Elephas maximus indicus: one gene and its partners. The protein of the gene in region 3 interacts with the protein of the main gene of each other region in a pairwise test. Links are inferred from orthologs where the notes say so. Each region holds a gene or a part of one and is shown on either strand. Other genes may lie near its edges.

The links. The genes of interacting proteins can lie anywhere in the genome.
Region 1: the proteins of FUNDC1 (region 3) and TUFM interact in binary tests that used the Homo sapiens proteins (3 or more experiments, as listed by UniProt). The two-hybrid records come from large-scale screens. The link is inferred for Elephas maximus indicus from reciprocal best matches to the Homo sapiens genes FUNDC1 and TUFM.
Region 2: the proteins of FUNDC1 (region 3) and YES1 interact in binary tests that used the Homo sapiens proteins (3 or more experiments, as listed by UniProt). The two-hybrid records come from large-scale screens. The link is inferred for Elephas maximus indicus from reciprocal best matches to the Homo sapiens genes FUNDC1 and YES1.

What each region holds. Positions count from the first base shown.
Region 1 is NC_064830.1:88,835,332-88,843,265, reverse strand, and holds the start of TUFM (elongation factor Tu, mitochondrial), read right to left. Parts: upstream 3,393-7,934; 5' UTR 3,321-3,392; coding exon 3,278-3,320; intron 3,176-3,277; coding exon 2,981-3,175; intron 2,554-2,980; coding exon 2,387-2,553; intron 2,118-2,386; coding exon 2,013-2,117; intron 1,923-2,012; coding exon 1,758-1,922; intron 1,618-1,757; coding exon 1,485-1,617; intron 1,397-1,484; coding exon 1,292-1,396; intron 1,177-1,291; coding exon 1,025-1,176; intron 921-1,024; coding exon 801-920; intron 216-800; coding exon 42-215; 3' UTR 1-41. UniProt on the Homo sapiens protein: GTP hydrolase that promotes the GTP-dependent binding of aminoacyl-tRNA to the A-site of ribosomes during protein biosynthesis. Also plays a role in the regulation of autophagy and innate immunity.
Region 2 is NC_064829.1:17,547,048-17,554,923, reverse strand, and holds the start of YES1 (tyrosine-protein kinase Yes), read left to right. Parts: upstream 1-4,484; 5' UTR 4,485-4,620; intron 4,621-4,682; exon of another isoform or gene 4,683-4,990; intron 4,991-7,876. UniProt on the Homo sapiens protein: Non-receptor protein tyrosine kinase that is involved in the regulation of cell growth and survival, apoptosis, cell-cell adhesion, cytoskeleton remodeling, and differentiation.
Region 3 is NC_064846.1:128,603,807-128,611,444, reverse strand, and holds the start of FUNDC1 (FUN14 domain-containing protein 1), read right to left. Parts: upstream 3,474-7,638; 5' UTR 3,329-3,473; coding exon 3,301-3,328; intron 2,673-3,300; coding exon 2,516-2,672; intron 1-2,515. UniProt on the Homo sapiens protein: Integral mitochondrial outer-membrane protein that mediates the formation of mitochondria-associated endoplasmic reticulum membranes (MAMs).

The sequences.
Region 1 (7,934 bases), on a different chromosome or scaffold from region 3:
AAGGCAGCCCTGGAGCAGATCCTGAGCAGAGGTCCAGAGACTCAACCCCACTTGATCTTCTTGTCCTCCTCAGTTAAGGCCAGTGTGTCAATGACAAGGCCAGTGCCAATGGTCCCGCTGCCATCACGAAGGGTGAAACGCTGGCCCTTTTCTAATATCATTGGCTGCCTCAAAATCAGGGTAAACTTCAGGTTCTCCCCGGGCATGGCAAGCTCCTGGAGGGAGACACAGAGATAATGTCACCTGTCAACTTCAGTGTGCCTTGCCTTCATTCAGTAACTGGTGGCTACTGTGGAGGTTGAGAAACCCAGAAGAATACATCAGGGTGATGATTCTGTCAAGGGACAGCTTCATTCCAGCTGTCAGGCAAACTCAACAGCATGTGCAAAGACAAAAAGAATGAATGGGACAAATGATACCAGTGTTTCCAAGGTATATTCTTGGAAAAAAAAGTCTAGGAAATTTTGGGTTATACAGGTTTCTTAGTTGCAGGACTTCTCTGAGCCCTCATATACTGTGAAACTTAAATAACAAGAGGGTTCTTTCCTAGGAAATCTTTCTGGAGATAAATGCTGGTATAGCTAGCTTTTAACCTACTTCAGCCTAGGGCACACTGGGTGAGGACTCAGTTCCTCTAGATCCACTAGTCTAGACCCTCCCATCTACTTTCACCTATATCAACAGTCAGCCTCTGGCTGATCCACAGCAATCAAGTCACCCTAGTTGTCACATTGTATCTTTTGAACTATGAATGAGGCAGAGCTGGTGTCACTCCTTCACACTTCCCTATACCCACATACCTTCCCTGGGGGCAAGATGACACGACAGGCCATGTCCCAAGTCAGGGAGAACATGACAGGCATGAAGTGGGATACAAAAGGCTTGTGGCGGCCACCCTCCTCCTTGCTGAGGATGTAAACCTGTAGGAGAGCAATGAAGGTGCAGCTGGACTTGACTAGAAGCACTGCTTCCATGCAGGGGACAGTGTGGCTTAGCCCTGCCCACCATCAGCTGGAGCCCTCACCTGGGCCTCCACCTTCTGGTGGGGCTGGATGGAACCTGGCTTAGCCATGACCAGGCCACGCCTCAGGTCCTCACGCTTCAAGCCTCGGAGCAGGGCTCCAAGATTATCGCCTGCCTCTGCCCTTTCCAGGCTCTTGTGGAACATCTCAATGCCTAGAAAAGAAGAAAGGAGGCAAAAGGGACAAGGAGGAGTACCTGGGTTAGAGGAGAAAGCACGAGGAATTCACAAGGTGAAAGGTCAGCTCCTGGGTCCCAAGGCTTCCTATACCTGTCACCACAGTGCGAATGTTCTTGTTATGTCCCAGGAACTCACACTCGTCTCCCTTTTTCAAAATGCCACGCTCCAGCGTACCTGTTACCACCGTGCCCCGGCCTGAAAAGGAGCCGGAAAGGACATCAGGGACGCTCGGCTAAGCTATTGCTGGGGTAGAGGGTACAAACAAGCATGGTCTGGTCCTCACCAGGGACAGAGTAAATAGATTCTACAGGCATGAGGAAAGGCTTCTCCAGGTCTCGAATGGGCACTGGGATGTAAGTGTCCACAGCATCCAGCAACTTCTGCACTGACTTTAGGCCTAGCTCAGGGTCACGTTGCTGTGAAGGGAATTGACAGGACTCTTAAAAATCCACTCTGCTCCTCTTACCAAGCATCACTCTCTGGACTCAGAGCAGAGCTCTGCCTGCCCATCCAGCCTCATCCTCTGCCAGCAGCCCCCTACTGTCCCTATCCTCACCTCAAGGGCACAGAGAGCAGAGCCTACAATAACTGGGGCCTCCTCCCCTTTGTAGCCAAACTCAGTGAGCAGTTCCCGGATTTCCAGCTCAACTAGCTCCACCGTCTCAGAGTCCTGGACAGCATCTGCCTTGTTCACATACACCACAATGTACTCTACCCCGATCTGTAGATGGAGAAAGATAACAAGGGATGGTGTCCAGAGTGGCCCAACGGCCACTCTTCCCCTTTGCACCCCACCTGAGCTCTTGAGTACCTGTTTGGCCAGTAATAAGTGCTCTCGGGTCTGGGGCATGGGGCCGTCATCGGCTGCCACCACCAGGATACAGCCATCGAGGGGAGCGGCGCCTGTGATCATATTCTGGGTTGGGGGAGGAGAGGAAACACTCAGCCAAGTTCAGTGGCCTCCTCGGCTCCATATCCATCTGACCAAGCACAGCAATTGAGAACTGAGGCTCACATTTCCCTTCCATCTCCTCACCCCCCAACTTTGAGTCATCATGGCCACAAATCCATAGTCTCAAATACCTACATCTCAGTATCATAACCTTCTCTCCTTATGCCCACCATTTATCCTGACAGAAGGCAGCTCCTGGTCCTCTCCCCAGAGGTCCTCAGTAACTCTCTCACCTTAATGTAATCTGCGTGGCCTGGGCAGTCTGTGTGGGCATAGTGGCGGGCGGCAGTGCTATACTCCACATGGGCTGCGTTGATTGTGATACCCCGAGCTCGCTCTTCCGGAGCATTGTCAATCTCTTCATACTTCTTAAACTTGGCCCCGCCGCCCTCCTCTAGAACTGGAGGGAAGAGACACACCTCTCAGCTAAACTTCCAAGGCTACGGGCAGGGCTCAGGCCACACCCCTGAGCCCCTCCCACCTAAACGAATGAGTCTGGGAGGATAAAAATTCTGTAATCCCTCTCCCTCCAATCTCCGATTTCTCCAGCAGAGCTAACTTTGCATCAGAAAGGGCTATTACAGTCCTCAAGGTCCAGCCCTGCGAATTCTCCAGGGGGAGGCAGTTCAGGGTCCCCCAATTCATGCATCAAAAAGTTCTTCAGGTTAAAGGGAAATCTGCATCTTCCACTCTACCGCCTGCCCGAGTTCTGGTTCCCAAGGCCACACGAAACACGTCCAGCAGCCGCTCAGGGGCCCAGTTTCCTGGCTCCAGGTCCTGTCTCTAGATCGGGCACTACCGGACGCCCCCAGCCCATGCCCGCTCACTCTTGGTGATGGCCGCTGTCAGCGTGGTCTTGCCGTGGTCCACATGGCCGATGGTACCCACGTTCACATGGGGCCTATCGCGGACATAGACCTTCTTGGCCTCCACTGCCAAGCCTCGACACAAGAGGGGCAGTGCCGGGGCCTTTGGCGGCCACAACAGGCCCTGCAGTAGTGAAGTCGGGCCGGCGCCGAGACCTGCGGGACAGAGGCTTGGAGTCAGGACGCGGATTCGAGCCCGGCCACCCCCGGAGCACCCTACGGGTCCCCAGGCTGCCACCGCCCTCCCTGCCCCCTCACCGCAGAAGCGGGGCGTCGCGCGCAGCAGGGTCGTGGCCGCCATTATGGTGGTGCAGGCGCCCCGCGTACCGCGTAGCGGCAACCCGCGCGTGCAACAGCCAAAGGACACTTACTGCTGAAGTCACTTCCGGCGGAAGTGAGGGCCGAGAAGGCGAGTCCGGGCGCCTCTAGCCACCAGTTTCCACTGCTTTCTCCGCCGACTTCCGGACACAAGGCAGAGGACGTCGGGAAAAGTGCAGGTGTCTCCGGGAGGGGAAGGGTGGAGGTTTCCGCGATGCGATCGGGTCTAGCCGCCTGACGGGCTATGTTCTTTTCTCAGGTGGCACCGGTGGGCCTTGCATTTTCCAAGGCGGAGGGTTTAGGGTGGAAGTCAGGTAGGTCCGCGCCGGGTCCAGAGGGTGTAGAGGCGGCCTGGGTGCGGACTACTCAAGAAAGTCCCGGGCCCGGCGCAGAGAGGTCCCGGATCCCCTGGATTCCGACCCACTGCGCGGTTCTCGCGGCCTTCGAGCCGCAATGGAGGTAGGACCAGGTCCTGGACGCCTTTCGGGGCAGGGGCTCCAGTGTGACCCATCTCTCCGCTGAGCCTTTGTTTTCTTATCTGTAAAATGGGAATAATAGTATCCATTTAATAGGGAGATTCTGACATCTGGACCTGAGAGGAAATGAGCTACGCTGAAGTCAGGGATGGGGTCTTGGGACTTCCAGCTGGAACAGTCCCTGCCCCTCAAATATCTGTCCCCACCGCACCCCCGGTTCTGTACTGGCTGACCTCATAGGGTCGGAGTCCTAAGACAAGGCTCTGTCGTCTACTCCTGTAGCCCCTTCTGCGGCCCAGGGGGAAATTCCCTTGTCTCTCTCCTCCCCCACCCCCGCCCCCACCTCATTTTACAGATAACATCGAGGATGAGGGACCAGCCTGAATCTTGTTCCTGGAAGTGTCCCTAGCACCCAACATAGGGCAGGGCACATAGTGAGTGCTCAATAAATGTCTGTTGACTGACTGACTGACTGAAAGAGTAGTAAATAACCTTTAGCTCTCACATCCATCATCTCATCGCAGCATCCGACATCAGCCTGAAATAATAAAACCAAAAAACCAAACCCACTGCTGTCGAGTCTATTCTGACTCGTAGCAACCCTGATCCTGATTAACGTTTCCAAAACTTACCCGAACCTACGACTCAATAGACAGCACTTGTTTCAAATCGATTCCCTGATTGCTCCCTTGGAGATTATGATTCAGTGGAGTCTGGGCACAGGGTGTAACAAACACCTTGCCCTCCTCCTTCAGCTGAAAGGAGTTTGGGAAAGGAGTCTGAACTAGAGCTTTTTATGTATCAAACGTTGTGCAAATGTTCTATATTGATTCACAATCAGTGTTCCCAGTGTTACCTGATGTGTGGTCAGATCTGTTATTTTCCCCATTTTACAGGTGAGAAAACTGAGAATCAGGGAGATGAAGATTAACCCCCCCAAACCTCAAAAGCCCTAAAAACATGTGCTCTTAAGCACTGCACTGTACTATTATTTAATACATTAAATTATGTATTATTTTACAGATTGCTCAGATAAAGTGAGGAACTTGCGTCTTTCTGGCCCTCCAACCCATCATTTCTGCCTAAAAAGGGCTGGTATAAGTATGGAAATGTTTTCTTTGTCTTTTCTGTGCCCCTCAGTCACTCCGCTCCTGGGAATTTATCCTGAAATACTATCAGCCACTGGTGGGGGTGGGAGTTTTTTTGGGTGACATATGAACTAATGGTTTCTATGCTAGTGGTACTGTATTTATTTATTACTTTTTAGCAACTTTAATGAAGTGTAACTTACAGTAAATGGCACATATTGTCCAATTTGGTACGTTTTGACGTGTTTTTGAGCCACAAAACCATCACAACAATCAAAATAATGAACATGTCTATCACTCTCCCCCAAACATTTCCTCATGATGCACTGTAATCCCTCTCTCAGCCCCCGATTTCTCACCCCCACACCAGCCCTCAGGCAACCTCTGCTATGTTTTCTGTCATTGTCTATGTATGTTATTTCTATCATAAGTGTATTTACTGATTGATTTTTTTAAATATTGAGTTTTCAGTGAAGGTTCACCTAGCACTTTAGGCTCCCATTCAACAATTTCTACACAAGTGGTTCAGTGATACGTAAATGACTGAGGTTTGAGAAACAGTGCTAAGAAGAGGGTCCAAAGGAAGAAAAACTTTTGTGGCGCTGTTGAGTGTAGCATATTCTGTAATAGTAAATCGATCAGTCAGGAATCTTGATTTACAGATAATTTACATTGACTGGTTTAAGCAGGGGAGGGATTTATTAGAGAGTATTGGGCAGCTTACAGATTTGTGGGGAGGACTAGAGAGATACTCCCAAGCCATAGGACTGACAAATAAGAAAACTGCTGCTGCTGTCACTGCCACCAAACACGAAGTGCCAGGACTTAGACTTGTCTGCAGCAGCTATTGCTGGAAACACTGAAGCCATGTTTGCATCATCAAAGTGATCATCCCTCTGCCCCCAAAGCCAGGCAAATTCAAAGTCTCACATGGATATGTCTGATAGAAGAAGCCTAGATCATATGTCAAGGTTCTTGTATCAGAGGAGGCTGAGATGTAGTCTTTGATATTGGAGAGGCAGGGCTGATTGCAAGGAATTTCTCCAAATGTAGAAAGTCTAAAAGATGCCCACCATACCGTTACTGAACATTTTGATCAAAGATTCTATAGAAGAATCCTGAACAAAAGGGAGGAAATGCAGGACAGATTTCACATTCTCATGGAATCCAGACTTTCTGGAGTCATGGAGGCTGGATGAACCCCTGACATTATTGCCCTGAGATCTTTAAACCTTAAACCAAAAATATCCCCTGAAATATTCTTTAAACCAAACATTAGTTCAGCTTATTTAGTAAAGAATATCTGCCTTCAGCATTTTGCTCTTTTAAGAACTGTCTACATAGAATCAAATTGACAACAGTAATTTGAAAGATAGGAAACTCAGGGGGCAGTGAGTTTGTTAATGGGGAGGAACAATTCAGAAAAGGAGGCTGAGAATGGTTATACACCTTGAAAAATGTGATCAGTCACTGAATTGTACATGGAGAAATTGTTGAATTGGTTTATGTTCTGCTGTATATATTCTCAACAACAATAAAAAGATGTCCAGCCCACATGAACCACGGCCTCTTCTAGCCTGAGACCAGAAGAACTAGATAGTGCCCAACTACCACTACAGACCATTCCGACCAGGGACACAATAGAAGGTGCCTGATAGAATGGGGGAAAAATGTAGAACAAAATTCAAATTCCCAAAAAAGGCCAGACTTACTGAATCTATAGTGATGAGAGGAACCCCTGAGACTATCACCCTAAGATACCCTTTGAACTTGAAACTGAATCAATTTTTGCTGGGCACCTTTCAGCCAAATAATACATTGGCTTATTAAATAAAGAATATCACCCATGAGTAATGTGCTGCCTTAAACAATTAACCCTATGAGACCAAATGGTCAACATTTACCAAAAAGCAAAGATGAGAAGGCAAGGAGGGGAAGAGAAGCTAGATCAATGGAAACAGAACAAACAGAAGGGAGATAATGAGGTTGCTGACACTTTGTGAAAATTGTAACCACACAGAACAATAAGTATAAAAATTGTTAAAGGGGAACCTCGTTTGCTGTGTAGTCTTTCACTTAAAACATAATAAAACATTATTTAAGAAAAAAAAAGTCCAGCCACACCTGTCACAAATATTGTAGTCAAAGAGTGGGATAGACACGAATGTCCAGTATGTGAATATGGTGGCATGAACTGTGGCATAGCCACTAGGTGAGATATTAATGGGGTAGGCTCAGTGTTGCAGAGATGGGGGAGCCAGCCACCTGTGAAAATGTTTGTGACCAATGTTACGGAGCAAGGAAGAAGGAAGGAGCTACTCCATGGGAACCTACTACAGAAAAATAGCCTGCGTACAAGGTCGGGGGTGAAGGGGTAGGAACAAAGGAAGTTGAAAACAATGTGACTTTAGAAGGCTGTGAATTTGCTTGGAGGAGGAGATTTTTCATATTTTGTGTGACTGGAGTTAAAGGAGAATTCTTTGTGAAGAATCTTGAACTCTAAAAAAGGTGTTCCTGAAATCAAATGACCTTCCAGGTCCTCCCCTCCGCACCTCTCCAGCTGTCCATTCAGTCTGCTGTTGGGCAGACACCTTTAGTTCCTACCTGACAGTGGTTTTGCCATCTTCCTGAACGCAGGGCCCTGATTTTGTTCAGGGTGGCCCCTTCCCCAGCTCCAGGCGTAAATTCTGGTGGTCCTGTTCTTGCCAGGGGATTTGTGTGGGGTTGAGTTTGTGACTCCTTTGGAACCAGTGATTGGTATGAGGAGATCTGCTTGGGGCAGGGGGAAGAGGGCTTCTGGGAAATAATTCCTCTTAAGGAGATGCTGGAAGAGGAATACCTCTTTCTGACTGGATGTTGCTGGATCTGGATGGGAAGCGTGAAACTTCTGTGGCCATCTTGTTCCCAGTTTGGTGATGAGGCCAGAACCAAGAGGAGAACAAAGCGAAGAGGATCTTAGAAAATGGACTCCTTGTGTTATTAGATGATGAATGTCATTTCTGTTTAAGCCAGGCTGTGCCAGAGTTGTCTGTT
Region 2 (7,876 bases), on a different chromosome or scaffold from region 3:
TAGAAAATTTCCTTAATACACACCCTTCATGTTTCATGCTGTCAGTTAACCTTAAAGATAAGAGCATGCTTAATAGTTTTTTCTAAACATTTGATGTAGGTAAACATTGCCTCCAAACAAAGCTATATTCTACTTTTCATAGCCTATTTGTAAAAATTTCCAGGAAGTAGCAATCTGGTAGCAAATTTAGTGGTATTTAAACTCAGTGTCAGAGACACTGATACATTAAGACTATACATCAGCTTAATGGATCGGAAAAGTAAAGGCCAAACACTCGGTAATGGCTATAGGAATTGCAAATAAAGATCTTGGGAGGAAATTACAGAACGGGGTTGGCAAATGGATTTCAACATATTCTAACTCCAGTTTTGGGTCTCCTGCCTGCATCATTGTGTTGAGAAGGACTTTGAAGACGAAGTTAGTGCTCTGGGAAGGTGTATGACATAACCACGATCTAAAAGCAATGATTGCCACGGGCAGGCAGGAGGGACTGACTGCCAGCTGTTCCAGGTTTGGGCTTTTCCATGTGGCTCAAGGCAACTGGAGTTGTAGAGCTGGGGTCCCTACTGCTGCTTGCTGCGCATCTGCTTCATCCTTCTCACTCTGAAAACTGACTCCCCCCTTGCCCTCCTGCCCCGTGGACATCAGGAGATGCTACCCTCACAGCACCTGAGTTTACTGTCAGCAGTTGAAATAGAGTCTAAGCAGTGGCCTTTTACCTGTAGGGGTTCCAATCTGCAAAGAAGAGCAACTGTGTCTCCTTCATTTATGCATAAAGATAATTTACTGGAGGAATTTTAAAAAGTCATCAGAAAGATTAGTGGACTAACCTCAGGCAGGAACCAAGGAAGGCAAGGGTGAAAGAGGGATGGCCTGCTTTGGATGCAGACACCATCAGCACTGGACACATGTTGCCTACTGCTGCTGGACTTTCCGACCCTGGACACTCACCTTCTGCCACTGGACTCTCCACCGTAGCCACCATGCATAACTCTGTGTCACTCTTGTGTTCCTCTCTCAAAATTCAAAATTCCAGGCTAGAGCCTGGGATTAGCCCTACTGAGATCACGACATATTGTTAGAGGGTCAATTCTTGGGAAAGAGGAGCTTGGGCTAAACAGATAACCTTCAAAAGGTGTCGGTGGCATGCTGTATTCTGCTAGGTGAGAAGATGCCAAGTGCCCATCAAGCTGAGAAATTGCTGTCACAGAAGAAAGAGGAAACAAGTTGAGGGTGTGAAAGTTTAAAGCTGTGGGTAATGTTACTTAGGAATAGGCAGAGTGGGTATAAGAAGCTAGTCCTGTACTAGGGACTTTGGTAGCTATAACAGGCCTGGGGCCAAACAGTGAGGGAGAACAAGAAAGAATTGATGCCTGAGAAATAAACCAAGAGATGACCTCAAGGTAGATGTTAACAGCAAAGAGAGACTGCCAGAAGATAGGCCTAGAGCTGGGAGGCATGCCACGCCAGGGGGAAATTTTAAGATTGTAGACGAGCCAAAAAATAAAAATAAAAAAAGTTAAAAGCTGGAGAGCAACAAAAGGCAGCAGTGAGATGGGGTGAATTTGCTAAAGCCCCTGTAACATTGCCATTTGTGACATCTATTAACTGACTTAGCTCTCTTAGGCAGCTTTTCCCAGTTGAGGGGGAATAAAAACTGTAATGTCCGAATCCTGAAGCAGTGAAGATGCCCAGAGCACTGAGAAATGGCTGTGTTACTACATTTCTCCTGTGAAGTTAGCACACTGAGCCTACACTCAAGGATAAATACGTTCATTTTGCCTGATCCTTGAAATCTTTGCTTACAGGGGTGCTCATATTCTTCTGAATTGGGCCTAGGAGCAGTTTTGGTCAGATGAAGGAGGCAACGCTAAGGTGGTGAGATAACTTCAGACGCAGAGTGGACATGAGGAGATCCAGTCTTTGAGTGGTTAGCTCAAGTCCCCTGGAAGGTATGTGGGGAGAGTAGTAGTGGGGACAGCTTCTAACAGCAGAGACCAATACGTGTAGCCTATGTAGGACCACAGGCTTTCTACTCTTACCAGGAACGGAAAATCATCATCTGAGCCTCAGTGATGGAGGCAGCAGCAACAGTACCCTAAACAAAGGCATTTCCTGGCAGAATAACAAGTTCCAGGGTAATAGTGCACCCAGCTAAACGCCAAATCTTTTGAACTACCAGCCAGTCAAGTAACTCAGCATTAATGAACTTAATAAATGAAAACCTCTCACTTTTGTAGGGACTTAACATACTTAAATAAATTTAAATAGATAGTTTTATTTATTTAAAGCTTTTCCATCCAGCAGTCTTTCCCATGGATTTAAAGATTTATGTCTCTTAACACTCCTTAAAGACATATGTACATACTAGGCCTTTATCCTGCACGGGAGGGAAACATTGGCGTGAGCATCTTCATTTCTCCATTTCACCAGTAAAAGATTTTCAGTTAAAAGCAATTTCTGTTATATCAGATTCTCTCTCTGCCTTAATGTTTGATTACTGGAAATAGATGAGCCTCCAGGTTATTTAGACTGAAGCTTGGCACTGAATGATGAGTATTCCAAAAAAGAAAGGCAATGAGATAATAAAAAAAGAATCAAAATGAGGGATAAAAGAAAAAAACACAAGGATAAATCAGTATAATCTGTAACATCTAGTAAGAGATTTTGACACCTTCTCCTGTCTTTACAATCCCATAGAGAACAGCTTGAAAACCATCTCACCCCTTAAACTGGGCTAAACTGGTTATTTTAGAGCAGATTTTTTTTGAGGCTGAGAGTTTAGGAAAAGAGACAAAAAATTAATCTAGATTTTATTTAGAAGTTTAGAAAAGCAACAGCTCAAGGAATTTATTTTCTAGTTTTACAAAAACCTGAATATAAATTTACGTGAAAGGAGAAAAGATCGCTCATATAGAAAAGTGCTCAAGGTAGTTAATAGCAAATGAATTTTCAGCATGTGTACCTCTTTGTTAATGTGCGTGTCTATGCCTACCTTTGGTTCATTTGGTGAGCTGAAAAATTACTTTTTTTTTTTTAATTTTTAGATGCATGTCCTAAGTTCCTAGAGTACCAGATTTCTGAAACTTACCATTGTGTTGTTTCGTGGGTATTTGTTGGAGATGATTTTGAATTTCTCTAAAAACCACACACAAAGGAAACCAACAATCCCACATTAAACAATTCCACCAAAGAGGAAATACAAAGAGGAAGTCAGTCTAAGAGTGTGACAGGGCAAAAGTGATTTCAGCAGAACCAAGCTAAACCCGGTGCATCGGGTGGATTCCGACTCACAGCCATTGTATATGACGGGGTAGAACTGCTTTTTAGGGTTTCCCAGGAGTGGCTGGTGGATTCCAAGTGCTGACCTTTTTGGTTAGCAGCTGAACGCTTAACCACTGCGGCACCAGACCCCAAAAGCTTCAATGTGCAGCCCGTTCCAACCTTGACTAACCCTTATCTTTATCCCAGTTTCTTCTGGGTCCTCCCCAGTTTCCTCCAGGGACTGACTATAGGCAAAGAGCAAAGATGATGGGATTCAGATGGACACGACTCTAGTTGTGGCTGTTCCAATTTCGAGGTCGCAGCCTCAGTTTCCACAGCTGTCAAACGGGGTAATAATATCCTGTCCCAGCTCTCTCACTGGGTTGTTGTGAGAATCAGATAAGAAAACCCCCACTGCTAGGACAGTCCTAACAGAAGTCAGCTTCGGCCCCCCTCCAGGAACGCCTGGTCGACCTACAGTCAACAGGAAGCTCCGGGGCAGGGACAGTCTGCCGGCCTCGGATGGAAGCCAGACTCGAACGTTTTTGGACGGCGATCAGGATGGTGTTAGTAACGCCCCCCTGGCTCCCGCGGCTGCGCTGAGATTTCACTATCAGCGACAAAGGGTGTGGAAGCACAGTACTGCAAAGCAAACAACCGACAGACACAAAACCCTCCACCCGTCCGTCCCCCCGAAAACAAACACAGCCCCCCGGCCTTCACACAGCGGGGCAAACGAGAGAGAAGGGCAGAAGGGGGCGGGATCCGCGCCCCGTTCACTCTCCCGCCGCAGCCCGGTCGGCCGGTCCGAGGCCCCCGGGGGCGCGCCTGGGGAGGGGGCGCTGTGGCTCGCTCTTCGGGGTGCAGAAGCACCTCCTCCTCACGCCCCTCAGCCTGCTCCGCCTCGGGAATCAGCCCCGGACCCCGCCGCCATGTTGGGTCGGGATCAGTGACTCGGACTCGCCGCCGACGGAGAGCGCGCCAGGGCGGCCGGGCCCCGAGGGGCGCAGGCAGCGCGCCGAGGCCGGAAAGGGCGCCGCGCCGGGCCCTGGGCGCCAGTTCCGGTAGGCGGCCCGCCGCGCGCAGGTAGCCGGACCCCCGCCCGGCCCGCGAGCAGCGGAGGGGCGGAGCCGGGAGGGGGCGGAGGGCGAGGCCGGGGGCGGGGAGCCCGGGAGTTCCCTCCTCCTGAAGGAACGAGTCCGGGTCCGGCTCCGCCGCCGCCGCCGCCGCCGGGCGCCCCGGACGAGTGGCTGGAGGAGGGAGAGGGCCCCGCGGGCCCCGCCGCCGCCCGCCGCCCCCTCCTCCCCGCCCCGAGCCGCAGCAGCAGCGACTCAGGCGACGGCGGCGCGGGAGCAGGTAAGACCCGGCGGGCCCCCGCGGCGCGGCGAGGGGAGGCGGCCGACCCGGCCGGGACAGCGCTAGGCCCGGCGTCCGCCCACGCCCGGAGGCGCCGCCGCCGCTTCCCGCCCCCGCGGGCTCCCGGCCGGGAAGTTGGGGGAAACTTCTCCCCTCCCCCGGCCCGGCTCGCCCGGCGCTGCGCCCTCCCCCCGGCGGGCGTGTCTCCCTCCCGGGGCTACCTGCTCGCCCCCGGCGCGGTCTCCGCCCCGTCCCGCCCGAGTCCGACCGAAGGTCCTCGCGGCTTCGGACGGGGGCCCCGCTTCATGTCGTGGTCTGCTCGGCTAGGTGGGGGGAAAAAGCGGGGTTTATTTTGGCTCCCACGACTCAGGTAGGGGACGAGGCAGGCGACCCCTTTCCGTCCCAAAGGTTGGGGACCTATGTGTTGGCTGACACCGGGTGGCGACCGTGCTGGGAGAGAAGGCGAGGGTGTGGGGCGAGTGGCTGAGCCTCCCGCTTCGCTCGGTTTGATTGAAAGCCGCGACATGTTAAAGTTTCCCTTTGTTTTGGGTTGGGGGTTGGGGAGGAAATATGCCATTCAGGACCCACTTCTACGATGTTATGCTTCTCCGCCTCCTGTTTGGTTCGGTTCTCTGCGCACATGTGGTGGAGAAAATTGGTTGTGAAGTGTGTTTTTCTTTTTGGTGATTGCTCCCAGCTTTTGCTTCCTTGGTCATGTAGGCAGAGTTGTTTTAAAACGCTCTTCAGAAATCAAGTCTGATGTAGGGACTACTTTAGTATTTGTTTTGTAGGGAGTGGGGCACAACGTAGTTCGAATTTGGTTGAATTATTTCATGCAAAATTAATTGATAGAGGAATGGAATAGCATACAGTCTAGTAAATTACAAATTGTTGAAGAGTCCCTGGTAGAAGCACAAGTTTGTGTACACGCTATTTATTACGTTTACATGTAACATTAGTGTCTGCTTTCCCATACAGGCGTATCTGTGCGTTGTAACGGTAGGGTTACAGTGCCGAAGAAGTTTGATAATTCTGAGTGTTTTAACTATCCTGTTAAATTTCTATAGTTAAAATATACACTAGGGAAAATATTACTAAATGTGCACACGTGATTGTAGGTATTTAAGGCAAAGTAAATAGTGAGTCTAATATCTAAAGTAGCATAGTGCTTGACACACAGAGGGCAGTAAACATTTTGAACGGACAGGTAATGGAGTGTCTCGCATCACATGTGATTTTCATCCACTGTATGGTTATGTGTGTATAACAAATGTGTGAGACTCTTTGCCTTAATTGACATTTAAGAAAATGAATTTTAATTTGGGAACATTAACTACAAATCAGTAGTGATTTTAAATGCTGATTGGCAATTCAGAGGGTCCTAAATTTTGAATAAAAATACATTGCCTTTAATCCGAATCTAAATACAAGATACTTCATATCCCTATTTCCGGGATAAAAGAAAAAAGGACTCTTAAAATATGTACCCTGCTGTAACCACCATAATGTTGTTATAGCTTTAATTTTGCAGTATGTTTTTGCTGACTTCATAAACCACAAAATTGACTCCTTTCTGTTCAACCAAAGTGAAATTACAGCTTTGACTATCTTCCTGGGGTAGGTGGAATTTGTCTTATGGCTGAAGTATAATATTAATACATGGTTTAAGTTTTTTTAATTCAGGAAATTTGCAACCTGAAATATTAATGTCTCTGCAGATAAATCTGCATGATACGCAATGTTAAAAGAATAAGTGTTCTAAAAGAGCAACAGTGGCCCCTTAAAACTCAGTTATCAGCAACCCAGGGTGTAAGACTTGTTCGTGCAGAGTTCCAATTTGAATCTTTTCAGGCAGTGAATAATTTGTTAATGTGGGTGATTTTTGTTCACAAATATATTTAGTTCTCAATCTAGTGAGTCTGTTCTGTGTAGGTATCATTACGTCCTATTAGCATTAACAGAGAAGCTTAATATTAAAGTTTTAAAGAGCAGTACAAAACTGTAGCATCTAGGAAAGCAAATTTCGGTGACAAAACTGTTTAAAAAAAAGTGGAAGAAAATGATTTCTATAAAAATACAAATATGAGAGGAGGGCAGAGATTGTGATTGGGGCAAACACATGGACCAGATTTCTGGAGTGGTGGCAAAGTTCTATTTCTTAACCTGGTGGCAATTGCAAGGGTATTGACCTTAGTATAATTCATTAGGCCATACATGTGTTTTGTGTGCCTCTCCGTATCTGAGTTTTATTTTCCATAGAATTATTTTATTAAAAAAGACCGTGAATAATGTACTGTTTAAGGTACTTTGTTTAAGAACTTAATATTTGGTAACTGTCTGGACTGCCCTTGCCAAACGGAATTGATTTATTTTTTATTATTGTGCTTTAGATGAAAGTTTACAGAACAAACTAGCTTCTCATTAAACAATTAGTACATACATTGTTTTGTGACATCAGTTACCAACCCCACAGCATGTCAACACCCTCCCTTCGGGACCTTGGGTTCCCTATTACCAGCTTTCCTGTCCCCTCCTGCCTTCTACTCCTTGCCCCAGGGCCGTTGTGCCGCTTTAGTCTCTTTTTGTTTTATGGGCCTGTCCATCTTTTGGCTGAGAGGTGAACCTCAGGAGTCACTTCATTACTGAGCAAAAAGGGTGTCCGGGGGCGATACTCTTGAGGTTTCTCCAGTCTTTTTCAGGCCAGTAAGACTGGTCTTTTTTTGTGAGTTAGGATTTTGTTGTACATTTCTCCAGCTCTGTCTGGGACCCTCTACTGTGACCCCTGTCAGAGTAATCAGAGGTGGTAGCTGGGCACCATCTAGTCATGCTGGACTCAGTCCAGTGGAGGCTGTGGTAGTTGTGGCCTATTACTTCCTTGAACTGTAGGATTAAGTCATAATTGTCATACCAGCTAGTGTATACAGCTACCTTGAAAATGTTAACATACTTCCAGATATGTAACAATTAAAGGATTTTGAAAAAATATTTCTAAGTGACTATTTAGGAATGTAAATAAATTTGCGCTTCATTTCCTTTAATACAGTAGTTAGTATTTTCAGGGAAGATATCAGGGTTTGCGTTCAGGTTTTAGAATCCTCTTCAGCTTGTTTCATGGTACCTGAGAAATAGTAGGTCATCAAAGTGTTTATTGGACTAATGGATGCTGTACTGTCATCGAGTATAAAATACATCCAGTTTTCAGAAAAGTATGTAACATGACAATTAAAACTAAAAACTGGCTTCAAGGGAGTAAGTT
Region 3 (7,638 bases):
AACCACCAGCGGCTCTGTGGGACAAAAGACCTGGCAATTTGCCCTTGTAAAGACTACAGCCTAGGAAACCCTATAGGGCAGTTCTACTCTGTCATATAGGGTCACTATGAATTGGAATTGACTCAATGGCACACAACAACAGTATGCAAAAGAATCCCAGATTTCTAAGTCTAGCCCTCCTAAATGGTAAATTTACATTTTCCAATTACATTCTGGACTTCTCTAGCACCCAGAACCACACATTCAAAATGTCCCAAAGCAAGCATCACTTTTCTACCCAAACCAACTGTTGCTAAGGCCCCAACTTGTAAGCGACAGCACCATTCTCCAGGCTTGCTATCTCATATTCATCTCAGACTCAGCCTTCTCCATCCTCTCCTTGGTCCAACTGTTTGCCAAGTTCTATATACTCTATCTCTATAACATTACTTGACCCTGTCTCCTTTCTGCTCTTGAGAGCATCATTACCTTGCTAATGGATCAGGCATCTATTACCTTGCTTCCAGACCACTCTAACTGGTCTTCCCCTGAGCTCCAGTCTCTCCTAGCAACCACCCATCTTGATGTCAGTTTTATTTTCACTATGCTCCAAAACCTATAGCTACCTACAGCTAAATATAATCTCTTTAGCCTCCCATACATGTCCTGAATTGGTCTGAATTGTTAACTGGTTAGTGCTTATTAACCTTTCCTCTTTAATGTATGACACAAATTATTACATCAGTTTCACTCCCTTAGAAAATTGCAAAAATTTGCTACACTGAATCTATAGTCATTGCAACAAATCATTGTATAATATTAGAGTCCTACTGCACACAGCTCCTGGGCTACCACCTGGCTATAACTCAAATGTATGTATTACTATAAAAAACATATCCCTCAGTAAGGGGGGGCAGCATCAAATGCTCAGAAAAGGAAGAGGAAGAAGCAAACAGCAGCCAGGTCTCCGGTGTCAACGATATCCTGGACAGCATGCTCCACAACCATGTGTATGATGGCATCAGCTGCTAAAATGAACCTACTAACTCCCCCTGCTCTGTCTCTAGGCTCTCCAAGCAAACATCTGCCAATTATGAGGCCTACAAATAGTGATTTGATAATTCTGTTTCTCAATTATTTCTTAGCCTCTTTTTTTAAGATTGGACATTAGGCCCTGACTCACTTTAACCAGTCATCTATGGCACCAAATTGTGAGCTTATATAAAGAGAGGACCAGACCCTAAATTAGGGGATCAAAGTACAACCAGCCTGTGGAGAATTGTTTGAATGACCAAGGCCACGAACAGACATCTCTCTTCTAACTGTGGGCTTTTTTTCATACAGCCGCATTAACAAATACACTTAATAAATACTGCACCTTTCCATTACAGAATCTTCCCATAAAATGGCATTTTTAAAAAGGCATGGAGGAGTGTGCCACTGTTCAAAGTGCATGAAAAACACAAATCAAAAAAAAAGTTATACTTACCAAGTATATTTAAATTAATGCAAGATAAATTTAACTTAGAATCTAAGAAAAAAGCCATTATTTGTAAGTACCCTCACTACAAAAATTCTCTACAGTCATGTACATTTTCAAAATAAAGTGTCAGACTTGTTTCTAATCCATGTTACTTGGCCAATCTTTTATTCCAGGAATAACCAAAGTAGATCCATAGCAGCAATTACGTAATCATGTGGTCCGAAATTGTTAACTGATTAGGCTAATGCCTATTAACTGCTCCCCCTTAACGTACTTCACAATATTAGAAGGGAAGCAGCCAGCCCTTTAATTCCAACACAGAACCACCATTCTACAGCTCCTCTTCAAAGCACTGGTATAATCAGAACCAGCCCACAAAAATGAACAGAACCATCTGTATCATCATCAACCATTCTTAATGAGGATTTTACACAGCTCCCTATAGCACTGACAATCCGGGAGACCAGTTCTACTGTGTGAGTTTCTCACAGGTTGTTCCAGTTGTTACCACTGGGTGACATGTAAAAATTATTTACACATGCCAAACCAAACACCAAACCGTTGCCGTTGAGTCGATTCTGACTCATAGTGACCCTACAGGACAGAGCAGAACTGCTCCACAGGGTTTCCAAGGAGTGGCTGGATTCGAACTGCTGACCTTTTGTTTAGCAGCCTGAACACCTGACCACTGTGCCACCAGGGCTCCATTTACATAAAGTTAACTCTTAAATATTTTTTTCTATTTACTCACTATTACGGAGTCAGATCCACTACATATGCTGAACTTCAGAAAGAGGAATCTATATTAAAAAAATCAAAGGAAGGATGAGGAGGGAATAGTGGTACCCTGGCAGGCATGACGGAGGGGAATTATCAAAACCAACACTGAGTCTGAGCGTAGATTACACCAATCATATCAGAGAAAAGCTTCAAAACTGTGCTATTTTAGGATTAACAGTGTAAACCCACTCAATATGTATTGAGTCTGGCCCACCTACAAAAGGGCAGAGGCCAGGCTCCTAATGAATTTAATGAAAAAGATGTTCTTCTCACCAGCCAGTCACTCCACCCATTACAATCTGAGTGGCTACTGAGTATTTTTCTACCATAGGTCCCGAACTGTGGCCAAACACTCGATTCCACCAGTGGTGTCTTCTTGCGTACTCGGTTAAATCCAACACTTCGTAAGACTCGTCATCACTTTCATACTCTTCAAAATACAAAAACAGAAAAAAATTAATTTAGAGTCAATCTAAAGTCATAAATGTTCCTTCATTTTTTTTTTAATGTTACAATTCACTGTTACTTTTGGCCTACAGGTAAAAACGTCCAGGCGGAAACTGATGAGTGTTATTAGGACTTCAAGAGTAAAAGGGGCTAGAAATAATATGCCCATCTCCTTCCTAAAGGCCCAAGGACCAGCCAGGGGCACGAAGCCAGTCAGATCAGAGTTACACAGCAGTGAGGGGCCACCTACCCAAATCTCAGTAGGGTAAGGAGCAGAGAAAGGTCCATTTTCAGTGAGAAGAGGGGGGTTCTCCTCTCAAAGAATCGGTCAGGAGCCGGAGAGAAGAAATCACTCCAGAGTCAGACTAAAAAACCGTTTGAAGATGAGGGGCCGGGGTTGAAAAGACAGACAAGGGGTGGGGCTACTTTGGGGGCGAGGGTCGCTCTCCCCCAGCGCTCCACCAAGAGGGGAGGACGAAGTCTAGCTCAGAGGGGGTATTAAACGGGCGGCCTCAAAGAAAAAACAGAGCCCCAGAGACCCTGGGGAAGGGGAAGGTAAAGCCGCCCCCGGAGCAAGGTCAGGAGCTGTGAGCCGCGCCCGGACCGCTCACCTTGGGGAGGGGGGTTCCGGGTCGCCATGATTCCGCTGGGGGCCTGTTGAGGGTGGTCCCCGCCCACCCTCCTCTCTTTTACACTTTGAGGGCCGCTCTAGGCCGGTGCGAAAGTCTATGCTCTCTTTCTTCCTCCTCCTTCTCTTCAGGCGCCACGTCCAGTCCCCGCCCCCTCCCCCTCCAGCGCGGGGCCTCCTGCGCAAGCGCAAGTCTCACGGGTCGGGAGGGGAGGGCAGCGAGCAGCCCCCGCGAGGACTTGTGGAAATTGTAGTCCGTTGACGTCTGCACCACTGGCCTCGCCTTCCCACCTCCACCCCTCCGGAATTTCCTTAACCCTAGTTTTGTTTTAAAGAGCCTCAGTGTTTGGGGTGGCGGGGTGGGGAGGTAGGAAGGTCTCTCGTGGTTTAGAGCGCAAAACCAGCTGGGCATTTGAACACTACCAGAATTCAAGCCATTGGGGAAAAGGGCTTTTATAAAGAGATAACAGAAGCCCTGTTTGAAACCACACTTTTCTAAGGAGGCAAGAGCTCACCAACCGATTGAAATTATTTCTAACGTGCTATTGCGGAGAATTGGAACCTTTTTATCCATTTTCTCTGCACGTGTTCCTTGCCAGGCGCTCAAGGGAGGCAGCAGAAGGGCTAGGAAGTGGCCTGACACCAGTTACTCAAGAGGACATAACTTTGTATCATTATGATTTTTTATTATTTAAATCTAACAGGAATGAGGGTCAAGTTTCTTTACCCAGAAGCCCCAAGTGATTCTGTAGAATGAAGAACCACGTTGATCACCAAGCAGCTAACTCAAGTTCACAAATATACCAGCCCCCAAACTTCTTTTGAACTTGCATTACATCCGCATTTGCTGTACGATTAAATGAGGCCCCTCAATATTAGTTTTAATGAAAAATCAAGGAATCCTGATGTAGATTGAATTACTTAAAATATTGACTTGCATAATTGAGCTTGGCTCAATTTCAAATCCTGGCCCTTTAAATGCAAAAGTTAGTTCTGTAATGATCCTAAGCCTGTGGCCTCCAAAATGCAATTCTAAGGCTGTCCGGAGTGGGTGTTCCAAACTCAAAGGCCGGTTTCTTTGTGTAAGACTCCACTTTTCAGAAACAAAGATTTTAGGGGGCATAACTCCACATCTTCTCACTGAAGTGTTTTTCCAAAAGTTACTGATTTTGAGTTCATACGCTCCTTCCTCGCCATTATCCACCCATTCCTGTTAAGGTACTAACAGAGAAATAGCCAAATAATGGGCTACTAAAAGAAGAGTTGGGTGGGTTAAAAGAAGAGAATGGAGAAAAAAGGGAAAGGAGTATCATAAATTGGAAGAGCAAAATGGAGGGTTGACTGAGCCAATGACATCCAAGTGACACTTTCACAATATCTGCCAACTGCAGAAAGAAGTCACTTTCATGTCAAGGAAATGACTTTTAGAGTCAAATGGCTATGGAGAAATAAGGGAGATAATAGAAACAAAATGCTGCTCTTAGGATGCCAAAGAATAAACCTTAAATGTATCCAAAAGTGAATTAAAAATCAATCATTTCTGCAAAGACCTTGATGGCTGAAAAGAAAATTTTTAATATGTTCTTCCCTTCCATCTTTAGTGATACGCCTTTGCCATTGCATTAAGGAAGTTAGTTGTACAGGTAGTCCCCAACTTAAGATGTATTCCAGTTACCACTAATTGCACTTCTGACAGTCCTTTTTTTTTTGTACATCTTATTCTTAGTAATATGTGCTGATGATATCATTCTCAGATGTTCACTCTAAGATGTTCAATTTTATGATTAACTCTTCAAAACACTGCTGTATAGATTTAGTTTTCTAAACTAAATCAGGGGTTTGGGTTGCTTGAAAACATGGACCCAAACGCTGATCACTTTGCTAGAGTCAATAGGCAGATTCAGGAAGCAGTGAGATGTTACCAGGAAATATATGAAGAAAAAAAGAAAAGGACCATACAGACAACTCTTACTAATTTTCTGATTAGAAACACTATCCCAATTCCCAGGGATAATTCAGAAGACACAGAACTTTCCAAAAGTGGAGTTATTACCGCAACTGACAAAATGCCAACATCGTCCAACTCTTCTTCATCTTTGGAGAAAATTTTTATGATTTGTGTATTTTTTATGTATGTGTGTATTAAAATATATCTGTAAGTTTATATGTAATGTTTCCAACCCCCAGAGACAAAGACTGGATTTTTAAAGATACTGATAATAAAAGGCAATAATAATGAAAATTTCAAAAAAAAATGAAGTATTTGACTTACGTCAGAACTGACTCGTGTCAGAACAGAACCCTGTTGTAAATCAAGGACCACCTTATAATGTATTTTTCTAGTGTGGATTTTCTCTTTCCCAACAGCAAAAAAGCTGTCATTTTGTTGTCTGAATGAAGAGTGGTTTAATGTGTACCTAAATTATATACACAGACTTTCCGAAGTGCTGTGATCAACCTGATGTTCTCTAGGGGGTGATGTGTGTTTTTTTTTTTTTTATAATTCCCATTTTATTTATTTATTTATTATTAATTTCCATTTTAAATAGTGTAAATAATTTTTCTTTTCAGTCAACACTAATAAACATTTTCATTATGAGCACTGGTATCATCTACAACTCTACCAAAACATAATTCAGACAGTCCCCAACTTTCCAATGGATAGAGTCCCAAAAGTTTATGAATAACTATTTGAAATTGAGAACATTTACTATTTCATCCATAACGAATCTTTAAAGAAGCTGTTGTCCCCTATTCCATCCTGAGCTTCACCTTTCCTTAACTTCTCATTCCTTGGAAACCTCACTTGTTAAAAACTGTTTAGTCAGAATGGAGAAAAGCAAAAAGTTGCAGAACAAACAGAAGAACACTTCACACTCCCTGAGCAATCTCATGTCCCCCATTGGCTACAACTGTTATTCCCTATTAGATGTCCACATTTCAATGACCTGCAAATTCAAACAACTTCACTCTATCTTTGAAGCTCCCCAAAGGAGAAAAATTAGTCACCTCCTTTTCCCCTCCCTTTTCTCCCACAGTTACACAGTCACTTATCCTATGCTTGCACCACCAAAACTGTGACATCCTTTCTCTCCCTGATGGTCAGCCCACCCGTTGGACCACTGCAATGGCCTCTCAATTGGCTCCTTCCTCCTTTTCTTGCTTCTCCCCACCCCACCCCAATCCAGTCTACTCTTCATCAGAATTTTTCTTCTAAAACCTGCATCTGATCTTGTTCTTTCTCTTCTTGAATACTTGTAAAAGTTGCCCATTGGTTACAACATTAAGCCTAAACTTCTTATGACATACTGCAGAAGTCGGCAAACTACTTCTGTAAAGAGTCGGATAGTAAATATATTTTAGGCTCTGCTGGCCACATAATGGTGTTTGTGGTATAGTCTTCTTTTTCTTTTGTAAACAGTCTTTTAAACCAGGGCTTCGAACCAGTTCAGTCATGGCCAATGAAGCAAAACCGAAACAGAACCAAATTTTTAAAAATCTGGGTGATCCGTAATCATAACCAGAATGGGAAAAATTTTGGATCGAAGCCCTGGAATGGGAGACTCGGAAGAGGTGTAGTGAGCCCTTTCAGGAGCCTGATGTGTGAGATTGGGTTATTGCCAGGACCGAGAAGAGCGACACACATTCAAAGCAGTGAGGTAGGCCACCATCTTTGATTGGGGTACCACTGTTTCCAACTCCGCGCAAAATCCAATAGGCAAGAGATTTGGTTGTTATGCAATGTGTATGCTGCCCTTGTTTTCCAAGAGGGAGATTAACTTTCTAGTAGGGTTTCAACTTGTAATTTTCCCAGCTCCTGTTACGGTTCTGGTTCACTCGAATTTTAAAAAATTTAGGTCTGTTCCAGTGTCATTTCCTCAGTCATGATTGAACCAGGAAGAACCTGTTCAAAGCCCTGCTTTAAACGTGTAAAAACTATTCTTAGCTCATGGGCTAATTTGGCCTGCACATCCTAGTCTACTGACCACTGGCATATAGGACCCTCCACATTTTGGACCCGAGTTACCTCTCTGGCCTCCCAATGCAGCTTGCTCCAAATTTCCTCCTTTTCTAGGTCCACTGAAGAACTAAGTTTTCTGAATACACTTTGCTTTTTCCAACTTCCCTGACTTGGTGCATGCTCTTTCCTCCACCTGAAAGTAATAGCTTCCTTCTCTACTAGGCAAATACTCAAACACCCTTTAAGACACATCTTAAAAGTAACTTCCATACAGTTTTTCTCTACTTCCCCCAAAGACCTCCCTCTCATTATCATCCTTAGTTGAATTTAAAGAAGGCAGTTTGCATTTCAATTAAGCAT